Oryzias latipes: one gene and its partner. The protein of the gene in region 2 purifies or fractionates together with the protein of the main gene of each other region. This does not show direct contact. Links are inferred from orthologs where the notes say so. Each region holds a gene or a part of one and is shown on either strand. Other genes may lie near its edges.

What was found.
Region 1: the proteins of rbx1 (region 2) and cul9 purify together in Homo sapiens (affinity purification with mass spectrometry; 5 studies listed by BioGRID and IntAct, with this or other methods). This does not show direct contact. The link is inferred for Oryzias latipes from reciprocal best matches to the Homo sapiens genes RBX1 and CUL9.

What each region holds. Positions count from the first base shown.
Region 1 is NC_019873.2:12,800,328-12,808,341, forward strand, and holds part of cul9 (cullin-9), read left to right. Parts: intron 1-248; coding exon 249-947; intron 948-2,258; coding exon 2,259-2,413; intron 2,414-7,290; coding exon 7,291-7,902; intron 7,903-8,014. UniProt on the Homo sapiens protein: Core component of a Cul9-RING ubiquitin-protein ligase complex composed of CUL9 and RBX1. The CUL9-RBX1 complex mediates ubiquitination and subsequent degradation of BIRC5 and is required to maintain microtubule dynamics and genome integrity.
Region 2 is NC_019866.2:19,407,278-19,415,796, forward strand, and holds rbx1 (E3 ubiquitin-protein ligase RBX1), read right to left. Parts: upstream 4,477-8,519; 5' UTR 4,241-4,476; coding exon 4,163-4,240; intron 3,162-4,162; coding exon 3,083-3,161; intron 2,933-3,082; coding exon 2,862-2,932; intron 2,720-2,861; coding exon 2,634-2,719; intron 2,525-2,633; coding exon 2,512-2,524; 3' UTR 2,347-2,511; downstream 1-2,346. Other genes in the region: st13 (hsc70-interacting protein), read left to right, coding at 746-834, 1,042-1,176; chondroadherin-like protein, read right to left, coding at 5,576-5,867, 6,010-6,176, 6,299-6,645, 6,728-7,064, 7,154-7,431. UniProt on the Homo sapiens protein: E3 ubiquitin ligase component of multiple cullin-RING-based E3 ubiquitin-protein ligase (CRLs) complexes which mediate the ubiquitination and subsequent proteasomal degradation of target proteins, including proteins involved in cell cycle progression, signal transduction, transcription and transcription-coupled nucleotide excision repair.

The sequences.
Region 1 (8,014 bases), on a different chromosome or scaffold from region 2:
ATTACTTAATCCAAACGGGGCCAGTAGTAGACAGACGGCGCCTGACCCGCACTTCTTACGGTGTTGCGAAGTTTTGCCCTTATTCAGGGTTACATCAGCTTAGATTTTAAAGTGGTGTCTGCATGGATCTGACCCCGAACCGGGTCAAAGAGTCCTCTGTTCTGATGCGTTCTTATGTCTCTCTTTTTTTTTCTCTCTTCTGATGTGTCTCCTGCTGACTTTCATAAATGAGTTCCTTATCTCCATAGCAACCATGGTGGGTGAACGCTGCAATGGAAATTTGCTGGTCCAACTCGGCCCCCGACTTCAGGCGTATCCAGAGGAGCTGATTCGTCAACGCCGCACCCACGATGGTCAGACGGAATACCTAATTCGCTGGAGCCTCGTCTCCACGGATAATGGTTCCAGCTCGGGTGGGGGCGTCGGGGAGGTGGGTGGTACAGGCAGCAGCAGCTCGGCGGTGGGTGGGTCTGGCAGCTCCACATCTGGAGAAACGAAGCCAGAAAACATCTTGATGTGGATGACCACGGAGGACGTCTACGCCAACTGCCCCACCCTCCTGGGCAAAAGAAAGACAGATTCACAACGCCCCCTGCAGCAGCAGGAGAATCAGCAAGGTGGAGCAGTGGCGGATGGAGGCCAAAGCAGTGGGGGCGAGTTCCCAACAGACGTGACCTTTGATGAGGTGGAGCTGTCTGACATGGAGGAGGACGTTAAGAACCTGGTCTGTCGGGCCAGGAAGCAGATGGCCAAAAAGAGCGACTTCTCCATCAACATCATGCACACCATCCACGTGCTGAGTGCCTACGCCAGCATCGGTTCACTCGTCGGCGTCTTTAAGGAGACTGGTGCCCTCAACCTGCTGATGGAGCTGCTGTGCAACAAAGAGACACAGACGCGCCGCAGCGCTGGCAAGATGCTGCGGGCGCTTGCTTCACATGACGCAGGTAAGAACTGTCCTGCTACATACAGCGCAGCAGGGAGACGACCTCTCTGGGGGTCTGGGTTTGGTTTTGGTCCTGCAGAAGTGCTGCTCTGTTGTGATGGTGATGCACTATATGTGGAGCCTCACAGGGAGGTCTGTCTTTATCCGGCAGCTGTGCATGCTTCAACTCTAACTCAGTCTGTGTCACATGCTTACAGGGTTATGCAAAACTTTCACTTGGAGAACACTGAGGAAGTGTGAGTGTGCATGTTTGAGTTTTGTGGCTGGACCACACTTTCTGTCAGAATGTAGAATTGTAAAATCTTAATTCTTTTCTCTAAAAGTTAGTGTGTTGGAAATGTTTACCTGGAACAACAGGTGAAGGTGTGGATCGAGCTGTGAGGGACATTTCAGGGGGGAACTGCGGGGGGAGCAACAAATAAAGCTATTACAGCTTTTAGCAAAACTTTAGGTGGAGCTGTGAATGAAATGGGGTGGAGCTGTGAATGAAACGGGGTGGAGCTGTGTAAGCTTTGGCAATAGTTTTAGTCTCATATAAAAGATGTTCCTTTTTTTAACTGAATGACTAAGGCAGGGGTTGTGGTTTAGTGCTTCATCAGTTACTCATACTTAAAGCCCACAGAAGGCCTCAGATGTCCAGCAGCTGCAGGTCATGTCTTTCACTGCTGCAACTCCATAGGACGGGAAGTAACGTTGTCGTGGAAACGGGAAGTACAGCGAATGTTGTCCAGCTGAAAGCGATCTGAGACCCAATCAAAGCAGTATATTCTGGAAAGGTTTCAGCTGTCAGGAAGAGGTGGGCTGATCTTGGACAAATGATCTCAATGGAGAGGAGGAGCTGCTGGAAAATCCTGGTCTTCCGTCTGGATCTCAGGGTTCAGTACCTTCTGTCTGAGCTTGGGTGGTTTTAATGTTTGTTTGTTTTTTCTTTATGTGCATGCTTCAATGATGAACTTTAAATTCCTGACAGACACAATAAAAAAAATCTGGAGAACTGATTGACATTCAAAGATGAACAAAGCAGGAATGAATTGATTATATGATGAGGCAGGGGTCAGTCCTTCTGGCTGATCATCTCTAAATGAAGCAAACACACTTTCAAACCTGGGGCTCCAGCTGTGTCGTCAATTTTGTTCACAACCAACTAGCCTGTGAATGCTAAGTAAACAAACAATTTGAATGTTCAGGTCTTCCAGAAAAGAACAGGTGTGTGTGTATCTGCATTGCCTCGGCAACAGCATCACAAGGGTGCGAGTCCTCTGAAGAACTGGGTCGTGATGGATGGTGTTGACACGTTCCCTTTCTCCTGCAGGCAGCCGGGCCTACGTGCTGCTGTCCCTCAGTCAGCAGGACGGCATTGAACAGCACATGGACTTTGACAACCGCTTTACTCTGCTGGAGCTGTTCGCTGAGACCACGTCATCTGAGGAGCACGGCATCTCCTTTGAGGGGGTGCACCTGCCTCAGGTACACACTGTCAGTCTCATAACAACCCCCCCCACACACACACACACGCACACAAATGAATCAGTTCTAATGTGTTGGTCCGCCGCAGGGACAACCTCCAATGTGTCATTTGATTTTTAACAGCAATAAACATTTGAAAAAGGGATCAAGCTTTTTATTTGGACAGGAATATGAAGTTTTGACTAGTATTTTATAAAGAACATTAAACTGTGAATAAAATTTATGAACCTAAATTTCAATTTCTTAACAATGTTGAAATTAAGGCTAATAATGTTAATTATTACCATGTCATCTTTATACATCAATTAAGATGCTGCATCACTGCTTCAAAGTTTATCAGCAAAAACAACCAATCAATATTAGCTGTTGGAGTCTATTAAAAAAGAAAAAGAAAAGAACATTCTTAATGCTAGATATAACACATATTTAAGCCTTTTTTACATTCTTTTGACTACTGGAACTCAGAAAAGCAGCTTTGCATTGATATGCAACTTTATACGGAAGTAAAGTGCTAATGTGATCGGTGTAGTTCAGCTAATGCTGTTGCGGGGAAAAGTTGCTTCGTGCCGTTATGCAACACTTTACATTAATAATGTGTTGCATATCGGGGCAAGCCGAAATGAAAAGCCAATTCTCTCCACGTCAAAATCAGCTGATTCACGTTGATCGCATAAACAGTCGAGTACCTATAGTAGGTCAGAGAGCCTGGTCATTAAGGTGTTGCTGGCGACGGCTCCAATGTTAAATTGTTAAAGCTTCTTTTCTTCTTTTTCAACATTTTCTGAGTAGTGTCTCAGTAGTTGAGCCTCTTTTCATGATAATCGCCCATTGTTGTATTTTAGCACCAACCTGCTATCTGACGTGCGCCATCTGACAACCTTCCCTCCATAGTGCACGGTGCCAGACAGGTTCTAAGAAACAATTCAGTTCACAACTACAGTAATAAATCAAAGAGCCAAATATCAATTCAAGAAAAATGGCGCCTGAGATCTCTAAAAGTCAACATTGTGACCTGATTTTCAGCAGAGAGACAACTTGACCTCAACTTTCCTGATAACAGCTCAGAAGGACAATAAACTAAGTCTGTAGACATTACAACAAAGAGATCTTATAAACTCTGTTAAATCCAGAAGGATGCCTGTCAATCAGGCAACAGAAGATGGCATACCAACCTTGGACAACAGATAGAATATGGACCTTTTTATTTCACATCATTGCCCTATAATTATAATAAAAAATTGCTTAATCAATTATTATAGATAGTTCAACTGATTCTTCTTTCTCTTTCGGCTTTTCCCATCAGGGGTCGCCACAGCGAATCATCGTTTTCCACCTCACTCTATCATGAACATCTTCTACCCTAACATTAGCCAACTTCATGTCCTCTGTTAAGACATCCATATATCTCCTCTTTGGCCGTCCTCTTGCCCTCCTGCCAGGCAGCTCCATCTCCAACATCCTTCTACCAATATATCCACTATCCCTCCTCTGAACCATCTCAGTCTGGCTTCTCTGACTTTGTCGCTAACACAGGCAACATGAGCCGTCCGTCTGATGTACTCGTTCCTTATCCTGTCTAACCTGGTCACTCCTAAGGAGAACCTCAACATCTTCATCTCCGCTACCTCCATCTCAGCCTCTTGTCTCTGTCTCACTGCTACCGTCTCTAACCCATAGAGCAGAGCTGGTCTCACCACTGTCTTGTACACCTTTCCTTTGAGTCTTGCTGGCACTCTTCTGTCACACAACACTCCTGACACTTTCCTCCAACCGCTCCAACCTGCCTGCACTCGCCTCTTCACCTCTTTTCCACACTCCCCATCACACTGAACTGTTGACCCCAAGTACTTAAACTCCTGCACCTTCTTCACCTAAGTCCCCTGTAACCTAACGCTTCTACCTTGATCCCTCTCGTTCAGACACATGTATTCTGTCTTACTACGACTGACCTTCATGCCTCTTCTTTCCAGAGCAAACCTCCACCTCTCTAGCTGTTCCTCCACCTGCTCTCTACTCTCACTGCAAATTACAATGTCATCCGCAAACATCATTGTCCAGGGAGATTCCTGTCTTACCTCGTCTGTCAGCCTGTCCATCAGCATAGCAAACAAAAAAGGACTCAAAGCTGATTCTTGGTGTAGTCCCACCTCCACCTTGAACTCCTCTGTCTGACCTACAACACATCTCACCACCGTCATACTTCTCTCATACATGTCCTGAACTACTCTGACATACTTCTCTGCCACTCCAGACGACCTCATACAGTACCACAGCTCCTCCCTCGGCACCCTGTCATACGCCTTCTCTAAATCTACGAACACACAATGCAGCTCCTTCTGACCTTCTCTGTACTTTTCCATCAACATTCTCAAAGCAAAACTGGCATAAGTGGTGCTCTTACGGGGCATGAAACCATACTGCTGCTCACAGATCTCCACCTTCTTCCTAAGCCTGGCTTCCACTACTCTTTCCCACAGCTTCATTGTGTGGCTCATCAACTTTATTCCTCTATAGTTGCTGCAGTTCTGCGTGTCACCCTTGTTCTTAAAGATCGGGACCAGAACGCTTCTCCTCCATTCCTCAGGCATCTTCTCACTCTCTAAAATCCTATTGAACAAACTCGTTAGAAATTCCACTGCTGTCTCTCCTAAGCACTTCCATACCTCCACAGGTACGTCATCAGGACCAACGGCCTTTCCGCTCTTCATCCTTTTCAGAGCCTTCCTAACCTCATCCTTTCCAATCTCTGCTACTTCCTACTCCACAACAACCACATCTTCCTCCCTTCTTTCCCTGTCATTTTCCTCGTTCATCAGCTCCTCAAAATACTCCTTCCATCTTTTCTGTACACTCTCCTGGGTTGTTAGCACCTTTCCATCTCTGTCCTTTATCACCCTTATCTGTTGCACGTCCTTCCCATCTCTGTCTCTCTGTCTGGCTAGCCTGTACAAGTCCTTCTCTCCTTCCTTTGTGTCTAACCTGTCATAAAGCTCATCATAAGCTTTCTGTTTGGCCTTTGCCACCTCTCTCTTCACTTTACGCTGCGCTTCCTTGTACTCCTGTCTACCTTCCTCAGTCCTTTCTACATCCCACTTCCTTTTAGCCAACCTCTTCCTCTGGACGCATTCCTGTACTTCCTCATTCCACCACCAAGTGTCTTTACCGTCTTTCCTCTTTCCAGATGACACACCTAGCATCTTCCTACCTGTTTCCCTGATAATCTCTGCTGTAGTTTCCCAGTCATCTGGAAGCTCATCCTGACCACCCAGGACCTGTCTCAACTTCTGCCTAAATTCCTCACAAGTTTCTTCATTCTGCAGCTTCCACCACTTGGTCGTCTTTTCTGTTTTCCCTCTCTTCTTCTTCCTGACCTCCAGAGTCATCTTACACACCACCATGCGGTGCTGTCTGGCTACACTCTCTCCTACCACCACTTTGCAGTCATTAACCTCTCTCAAATGACCTTGTCTACATAGGATGTAGTCCACCTGAGTACTCCTACCTCCACTTCTGTATGTCACTCTATGTTCCTCTCTCTTCTGGAAGTAAGTGTTGACTACAGCCATTTCCATCCTCTTTGCAAAGTCCACTACCATCTGTCCCTCCAGATTCCTTTCCTTCACACCAAACCTGCCCATCACCTCCTCATCACCTCTATTGCCCTCACCAACATGCCCATTAAAGTCTGCTCCAATAACAACTCTCTCTCCTCTTGGGATACTCTCTATGACCTCATCCAACTCACTCCAGAATCTCTCCTTCACTTCTAACTCACAGCCAACCTGTGGCGCATACCCACTGTCTACATTCACCATCACCCCTTCAATTTCTAACTTTAGGCTCATCATCCTGTCTGAGACTCTTTTCACCTCTAGAACACTGTTTACAAACTCCCCCTTCAGAATCACTCCTACCCCGTTTCTCTTCCTATCAACACCATGATAGAACAGTTTGTATCCTCCTCCAATACTACGTGCCTTGCTGCCCTTCCACCTTGTCTCCTGCACACACAGTACATCCACCTTCCTTCCCTCCATCATGTCTGCCAGCTCTCTGCCTTTCCCTGTCATTGTGCCAACGTTAAGAGTCCCTATTCTCAAACCTATGTTCCTGCCATTTCCCTTCTCTCTCTGGCCACGGACCCTTCTGCCTCCCCTCTTTCTTCGACCAACAGTAGTCAAATTTCCACCGACACCCTGTAGGTTAACAGCATCGGTGGCGGTCGTTGTTAACCCGGGCATCGACCGATCCGGCATGTCTAAAGTGTTGTGGATGATTCGCATGGTTATTTTGGCAATTTTTACGCCGGATGCCCTTCCTGACGCAACCCTCTCTATTTATCCGGGCTTGGGACCGGCACAGAAGTAACTGGCTTGCTACCCCTGTGGCTAGATTCGATAGTTCAACTGATTGATCTCTAAATATATCACTTCACTTAACCCTGTCAAAATGCTGAAGGCAAAGAAAGCAAAGGTTTGGCTGAACTTCACTACAAAAGATTAATTCAGTGACGTGTACAATGCTCTTAAAAAAGGCTGCCGTTGTGGCAGTGAGCGGGGAAATGCATGTTAACTTCAGCGTGTGTGAAAACGGAGATGCAGCAGTGCACTGTCAGAAAGAAGAAAATAAAAAGGATCTTACGCGCATTCAAGTGCTCTCCACCCTGTCGCGCTGCTTCATCACACTTTAAAGGCTTTAGGAAAAAAATGGCATTTTTTACTTTTCTAAGCGCTGGTTCAAGAACCATTTAGGCATCAGAAATGTTTCAAAACTACCAGTTGACCACCAGCACAGAAACAAATCCTGTCAGTTACCCATCCATACTCAAACTTGTCCTTATTATGTTCAACATGTGCGGTTTTGTTTTGTTCTTACAGATTCCTGGGAAGTTGCTATTTTCCTTGGTGAAGCGTTACCTGTGCGTTACGTCCCTGATGGACAAACTCAACACTGCAGGAACAGAGTCGAGCTCTGAAAGGCAAGACCCGAGCCCCTCCCCCGCCACGTCCTCCACCTCTGTCCACCAGATGGACCTTGTCCGCCTCCAGAAAGAGTTTGATTTCACCATGGCGATGGCCAATTTGATCTCAGAGCTGGTTCGAGTGATGGGCTGGGACCGGAACAGGCAGCCCCCAGATGGCTATACCCACCACACTGTGGGAGGCGAGGCTTGTGCGAGGAAAGAGGAGCTCGAGAATCTGTGCCGCCCTGTCCTTAGGTCCATTTTCCAGCCTCGATTCTGCACCTCACCTATCACTCTCAGCACCAGCTCCCCTACCACTGCGCCCTCTGCCACACCTTCAAAGAAAAAGGCAGGAAATGGCTTCAAAACGCGCTCTGACTTTGCCAGCCGCTCAGCATATGTGGAGTACGTCCAGGACAACTTGAAGAGTGGCATGATGGTTCGCATGCTGGAGGATTATGAGGAGGTTAGCGGTGGAGATGAAGGAGAGTTTCGCTACAGCAACGATGGATCTCCACCTGTGCAGGTGAGAACAGGCCTGGTCTGGCTGACAGGTGCAGGAGGGATGTTACTGGGTTTAAAAAGGCGCCATAAATAGCTTAACATTGACCAATCCTGAAGCCAGCATTCACCAGAGA
Region 2 (8,519 bases):
TGTTATATTTATGTTAAATGTCCTACCTAACTGTTTCCGCTCTGTCATTCACAAATCAAAATACAAATTTAAGTAATCCTCAAATATTTCAGGTTCTATTGAAAATATCGACGTTTCATTTGAGCAGATATTATTCTAACGGTTTATATTTAGGCTGAATTTATTTGCACATATTTTAAGGCAAATTTTAGTTGTTGTATTAAGGGATATTTTAAGGGTAGTAACAGTAATTGGTTTTACTTTATTGTACGACGAGCTGAATTTGTCCTTCATTTCTCTGTTTTCAATGATTTTGTGAAGACTGAAATTCAAGCAACTTTAACTTTAGCAGCTCAAACCTCAAACCCATTGCACAAAGCGATCATTATTTGGATTTTATTTGGCTATGATTTCTGAATGATCAAACAAGGAAAACGAATACGGTTAGGTAGGACATTTATTAAATAAATATCGGGAAAATTACTATAACGATTGATTATTATTTAGGTAGAATGGTGTTAAACGGCGTTCAGTTGTTGGTTTTGCCAGTCTATATCTGTAAATTAGAAGTAATGTCATGCAGTGGCCGTGTTTTTCTGCACGCCTGATGCTCTCACTGTGATTCCTTTGAAAATCAAAAGCGATTCAACATCTTTGCCATTCTTACAAGCCTCTTCAATCCAGTGGATAGGCTCCTCCTCCATCCTACAATCCAGTCGATTGGACGTAACTGTGCTGGAGTATTTAAATCTCCTTGATGTTCCAGGTGCTGCCGGATTCCCAGGCGGAGGTCCAGCAGGTATGCCCGGTCTTGGTGACCTCCTGAAGGATCCTGAGGTGCTCAACGCCATGAAGGTAACTTAAGATGAACCAATTCTATCACATTCCCCCAAGGAAAAGCCTTAGTTCCATAAATGTGCAAAACACAGGAAACACAATTTAAACTTTGTATTAAAAATACACTGACGGAGAGTCTGAGAAAATTAAAACTGCAGCTGTTTTCTGCTCAGTTTTTGTGACTCCTGAAACACTCCAGTGAGGTTGACTTCTTTCTGACTCCAGGACCCTGAGGTGATGGCCGCCTTCCAGGATGTGGCTCAGAATCCGGCAAACATCTCCAAGTATCAGAACAACCCCAAAATCATGGCTCTCGCTTCCAAGCTGAGTTCCAAGTTCGGAGCCCCCCCCCAGCCATAGAAGTGGACTGGACCAAAACGGAGATGATGTTTGGAGGAGCGAGTGAAATTAAGCTTTTCAACATTTTCTCAGTGTGTTTAGTTCTATCAGGGGAGCAGGTCAAAGTGATGCAAATGTAACAGAAAGATGGAAAGTGTTTTTCACTGGTTTCTTTTTTTTTTTTAAATCTTCCTCAGTTTGTTAGCAACATCAACAAATCAAACAGATGGTTATGGGTCAGTCCTGGTATTTAGCTAAGCCCCTCCCTCCTCTCTGATGGGTCGCGGCTGTGATTTAACCTGCGACAGCAGCTCGGACAGTTCCTGCATGGAACCAACGCCTCTTTCTAGAGCCATTCTACACTCAGTAGGAAATTCCTGGTTGTGAGGCCGCACTCCAAAGCGTGGGTGCTGGTACATGCTGTTGTGAAAGGCTAACTGCAAATAACTTTAATATTCCTGTTGAAAAGTTCACAATAAAAATGTTGATGGAAAACAGCTTTAATCCTCTTTTCTACTTGCACTGATAAATGTACTTTAACTGTCAAATTCCCTAGCTTTTAACGGTTGTCTTCTATTAAAGTGAAAACTTTTCATGATGCCTAATCCATGCCAGCTTCTGCAGAGCAGCAGCAGTTCATTAGAAATTTACCTCCGAGTTGTGGGCGGGAGTGTTGGCATGGAGCAAACCCGCCCCATCCCCTCCCCGTTGTAAAGCGGGGCGCTTGTTGCCCACCACATGAATCTCATCACAAAGCTCTTTTTTTCATCTGAATATAGAATTACCGCTCATTGACTATCGCAGTTTACGTTTCAGTCTGTGTGGATATTTTTCATTGGAATCTTTTTTTTTTTTTTAATCGCAGGTTATTTTTGGAACGTAAATTTGAGCTTAGTTTTCTTTTATGCCCTTCATCAGAAAAAGGCACTAGAGCACGTTGAAAACACCAGAAAACAAGATTTTCATCAGAGTGGGTCTTTAGGAAGTATTCTGTCATGTGTGGAATTTAACAAATAGATGAAACTCATTTTTCTAACAGCTTCCACAATAAACTATGGTAAAGAGAAGTCAAACATTTTGGTGGTGATTTAATTTACACTGAAGATTCGTGTCCTTAAAGAGGGTTACTGCGCTGTCAACATCAATGTGATTTAAAGTCAACTGTATTAAAAAAACAAAAACACAAATGAAAGGTTAATTCCCAGTTTTTTTCCATTTATTATTTCAAACTTTTTACCTTACAAGCTCACCATTTAATTACAACATACTAAAACAAAAGTGTGGAAAATAATACAAGCCGCTGGGATTGAAGAAGCAGTGAAATTGATTCTTGCAGGAAGTGAGCGGCAGGCCGACTCAATGTCCATATCTGTGAAAACATGACAAACAGCTTAGCAATGTCTAAAGCAACAACTTTAAAGAAAATCGTACTTTCAGAAATGTAATCAATAAAACTACATGACATCAATCAAACTTACTTCTGAAACTCCCACTCTCTGTTATCAAGGGGACACACTTGTCTGGTTTTCAACCAGCGGGAAATACAATGGAAATGGAATGCATGCTAAAAGAAGACAAACAGGTGAAAAAGAAATTAGAAATGTTAAGGGCTTTAGCTCTAAATGCTCATATTGGTATCCATCATTTCATCTTCCAGAAAACACACAGATAATCTGAGTCTTCCATCAATTTAATTGGAAACTTACATTGCAGACCCCCCAGGCTACTGTGCATTCCTCTGAGGTTGCAGATGCTTGGTTGGCTTGACATTCTATGCCTGATCAAGAAAACATGCAACGTGTCACAGAAATCTAAACTTGTTGGGAGAAGAAGGGCTTGTAGAAGCTTAGAAGTACTCATTCTGCTAAAAGTTTGAAGTCAAAATGAAGACAGGAAGCTATCAGAGAATGCATTAAAGTGAACTCACAGAGATCCATGATGTGGTTTCTACAGATGGCGCAGTTATCCACAACAATGTCCCAGGCCCACAGCGCCACAGCATTCCACTGAGGGGGACAGAACAATCAGATGAGCACATGTTTAATCTATGTTACCCAGGATTATATACACCAGTTAAATGTTTTAGAACGTTCCAACGTTTCCAGACTTTTTTTTAACCATATCTAGCATAATGTCTTGTAATACTTTGAATGGAAAGGATCGAAAGAAATAAGCAACTGGAATTACAAAAAGAAAACAAAATATAGTTGTTAAACATGTCCACTGATCGGAATGTTAAAACATTTTAGGGAAATCAAAAATATTAGCATTTCCTTCCTGCCATTTTTGATAGACATGGCTGATATAAAGAACATGTTCCTGAATTATTTTCTTGTTTTTGGTCATCATGACACTTTTTTTCCCCCCATTTTAAAAATAGTTGACAGGAAAGATTTAGTGCTTCCTTTTACAGTAAAGATAAATATATCAAATTGCACCTGTCAGGTGCACAAATCAGATAAGCACTTTTAAGGGAATATATATATATATATATATATATATATATATATATATATATATATATATATATATATATATATATATATATATAAAACTTTATAGCAATAATCTAAAGAAATCGGTTAACATGTGAAATACACGAACAAAAATTTAAAATTAGAGAAAAAGATGATGTGCTGCTAGATCTTGAAACCTCAGCTTTATGCTAAGCTAAATTAGCATCCGAATAGCACAAAAATAAAACAAATATTAAAAGAATTAAGATTATAGCTCTCGTTACCATTTCAAAAACGCTGTTTTTCTGTTACGCTCGACTGAAGGTAATCTTGTAAATATCACAACATGGTCTAAGTTATGACATTATTTAGAAATGCACATTCATTTTCGTTAAGCAAGCTAACTTTATGCTAGGCAACATCGAACATGCTAATAGGAGTCGTTAACCAGCTAGAGGAGGTTAAAACAGACAGGGCTCCTTTGTTCTTCTTTTATATAGCAAACGTGTTTGACCAATCCAGAGTTGACCAGGTAATAAATAAAATCAGACCTTTTTAACTTCGAAGCGTTTCTTGCTTGAGCCACTGTTAGCACCACTCGGTGTGTCAACGTCCATCGCTGCTGCCATCTTGAAACGTCGTCTGTACAAAGCCGTCCGGATGTAGCAACAGTCTCAGTCGGTTAAGTTCATTAACTTAACCGACTGAGACGGGAAAGACGAAATAAAATAACAACCAAAACATGAATTTCATTTAAAAATTAAATAAATTAATTAATAAATAAGCACAACTTTAAAGAAGATAGTAAGTGATTCCATAGACGAGGGTGGAAGAAAAATCTCAGGTCCCACCGAGATTTGAACTCGGATCGCTGGATTCAGAGTCCAGAGTGCTAACCATTACACCATGGAACCATGTTGAAGCCACAGCCAAGAATTATTAAGGTACCATCAAGACACCGATCACACGTTCAATTCGAATATTGTTAGAATTCTATCTACTAAACAGGTTAACTACATTTTTGCAGCTTAACAATTTCTTTAAAAAGAAAAATTTAAAAACAGGAACTTCTTCATTCATCAAAACGGTGAATATAACGGGTTTTAAAAATTATTAGCATCCTGCCGTAAATGATTTAATGCTAAGTTAACTTACAGGCCTACTTTTTGTGTTCCGTGCTATTTATTATTTGAAAATAAAATAATTGACAGACACTTTAATGTTTGACGATTGTTGAGGTGAACAGGGGTTCCATAATATTTTCTATGTTCTTTTAAATATGCATTACAGGGGTTCTATTATATGTTGTATTTTCTTGTTATTATAATGGATTCTATTTTTGCATGTATATTGTACTGCACAAATATGCTTGATTCCTGCCCTCAGTAGCAGATAATATGTGACGAGGTCACCAGTAGGCCTGTTTTTGACTTGCAGTCTCTGCTTTCTTTCTGTACTGGAGTGTTTATGGAGCCATAACAGCTGCAATGCAGACTAGACAGAAACACACCATTCTACTGACGTATTTTGTATGTTTTCATCTTCCCTTACTTAATAATAAAAAACGCCTTTTTGCCTTGAGGACAGAGAGAGCGGACAGCCACAGAGCCTAACAGGTCATGTTTTTCCAACTCTCCGTTTTTGCAAAAGGTTTGAGAATTCATGCAAACTCTTGTGTCTTTTCGTTTCCCCAACTGCACATTTCATTTTTGGACGTCCTGAACCATCCGAATCCGCGAAGGCCGGACAGGAGGCCAACAGGATCAATAAACTTATATATTTTGTGACTTTTAATATTTTTTGAAAAGTTGTATTCTGTTGTTTAGAGTAGCTTTGCCTACAAAATATGAAGATAGTGCACACAACATGTTGTATGAAGCAGTTTTAATAAAAAAACAAAAAAGTTGAACTTTTTCCCAAACAAAACTCTTTGTAAAGAAACCACCAAAACATGATTCATTTTATTATAATGCCATCTTGTTCATGGTCTTTTTTGGAGTCCCAGATTTTTTTTGTAACCTTTTCTTAGATGATTTGCTTAGTTTCGACTTCGCAGGTCTAGTTTTCACTTTGGGGGGCTTCAAAGAACCTGGTTTGGTTATTGTAGAAAGTTTCGGCTCCCTGCTGCCCTCCTGCTTAATGGAGGCGTTTTCTGAGCAGGATGCGAAGACATTAATGTCTCTGACTTGCTGACCTCTGAGGTCAGGAGGGTTACCGCAAGTCGCTGTAACTTCAAATCTCACACTCTCCATCCACCTGAAACACAAAGATAGTACACAAAAACACAAAAAAAGTTATGTGAGCTTACTGACCGTACAATGTTACATTTGTGGGCTCTGATAATTGTTGAAAACTCCCCTTTTCTGATTCCAGCACCCTGGTAAGGACCCTCACTGACCTGCGTAGGGGCAGCAAAGCACAGTCGCACAGCAGAGGGTTGTCTCGCAGGTCCACCCCTTCCAGGCCTGTAAGTGGTCTCAGGTCAGGCAGCTCCTTCAGCTGGTTTCCCCTCACAGTCAGATGTCTAAGAGCTGAGCCCAGGTCCTGCAATGCATCTTCAGACATCTGGAAAAATTCAAAATACCAACCAATCACACAGTCTAAAATGAACTAATTGGAAAAATTAAAGATTGAATCAAATACTCCATTTGGATGAAAGAGGATCTTGGAGAACTAGAATCTCCTACCTTTTCCATTCCCATATGATCCATATAAAGCCTTTTCAGACTTTGGGATATGGGCTGGAATGCCTTTCGTCCAACCCTCAAAATAGGATTTTGAGATAAGCTGAGCTCCTCCAAGTTTGGGGTTTTGGTTAGAGCGGAAGTCGGCACCTCAGTCAGCCGGTTGGAATCCAGGTAAAGACATCCAATGGAAGCAGAGGTGAGAGCACCTCTGGCCATCACATTTGTGCTGTTATTACTCAAGGACAGTTCAGTGGGAGTTACAGAAGATAGCAAACCGGAAGGCTCTAGTTTGGAAATATTGTTACGCTCCAGGTGTAACACAAACAAATTTGGTAAAAGAGAGAGAGCTGTTAGGAGACACAGAAGCAGAATGTCAGTCAGTTCTCTTTATCTGTAGTAACAAAATACTTAAAGTGAGCTCACACTGACCGGATCCAGGGAACTGTGTCAGCTGGTTCCCTTCCAGGTGGAGATAGGTGAGATTTTGGATTCCAGCAAAGATCTTTGGATCCAACAATGTGAGGTTGTTGTCAGAGAGATACAAATAAAGCAGGCTGTTCATTCCCTGGAAGGCACCACCTTCAATTTCATGGATTCCACACGACTCTAAGTGAAGAGAAACTAATTTCCCAGTGCCTGGAAAGCTGAGGGCTGGAAGGTAGTGGAAGTGGTTTCCACGGAGTTCAAGGAGCTGCGTCTTTGCTGGGAAGCCTCTGGGAACTTTGGTGTGACCCTGGCCTTCACATGTAGCATGATGTGTTTCAATCTATGAGTCAAATATAAAAAAAGAAAAAACGTATTTGTAAAATGATTAAACTGTCAAGAGGTTATTCTGAGAAAAAAAAAACAACTTACATCACATTTACAGTTAGAAGGACATTTGACTCTCTGCTTGGGCTTGGCTGTGGCTGTGATGTTTCCTTTGTTTTCCTCCTTATTCTGCTCCTCCTCTTCCTCCTTCTCACCCAGGCTTTGACTCCCACCATGACAGCGTAGATCCGAAGAGGTCACTTCCTGCAGCAGCTCCTCAGACAGATGTGGGGGTTCAGTGCAGGCGCCCAGCAGCTTCACACCTTTGGCGGTCGCCCACTCTTTGAGAGGCTTTAAGTAACAGTTACAGTAGATTGGGTTGCCTGGAAGAAGAATTGTTTTTCAACTGTTTGCTGAATTTTAATAACATCTTTCTGATCACTCAGACCAAAAAAAAACAAATAAAAAACACTTTCATATTTTATATAGTACTAAACTAATAAAATACTACTGAAAACTAAACTAAACTCAGTTTATAGTAACTTTAGAGAAGGACTCATTTTCACCCTTTATTACAGGAAAATTGTATTGTATTAAAGATAATCACCAATTATTCATTTCAAATTTTTCACACTTTCTGTTTCAAAAATCTATTGGCATCGAGCTCTAAAGCACATGTGTCAAACTCAAGGCCTGGGGGCCAAATGTTATTTTATGTGAAGAACATAAAAGTTTTTCATTTCTTAAACTACTTTTTTTTTAGTTGATTACATATTATTTATGTGTACCTGCTGTAATTATTCAATCTTTGCAGGTCTGTATGCAGACAAATTGTCATCAAACCATCAGTTGGATGCAAGTCTGTGTGCAGCCTTTTTTTGTAAAATGTAACACGTGTAATACATGTTCTTTCTAGCTCAGTTTTAAGTTATTTTTCTTAAATTCACTTGGAAAGTTTGATCCTTCAATAATGGAGTTATGTGGGCTTTGATAAGCGGACAAAATTTAAAAGGATTTATGCCAGAGTAACAAGCAAACATATTTTCTATGCAACTGTAATTGTCACTTTAAAATGTTAAAATAGATCAATAATGAGTTATTTAACATTAAGGAGTAGTTACATTTATTTTTCATCACATGTATAAATAATATTTGAGGACAGCCGCTACGCTGATGTGGCCCTTGATGAAAACGAGTTTGACATCCCTGCTCTAAAGCATCTCTTTGTGTTTACAGTTCTGTTCATAAATAGAAATACGCAGATCATCAGGTGTTGTAAAGAAAGGGGTGGGATCATTCAAGATTTCTCTTCAACCCACTCCTTTTCAAGCACACTGTCTTGTTTTATCCGTCTATTTTAAACTCTTGTGTTTACTTTCATTTTAGTTTGAAATAAAGAAAATTGAATCGAAAAAATATTGTTAGCTTTAACGTGGGCAGAATAAGCAAAACAATATAAGCACCTTAAAAT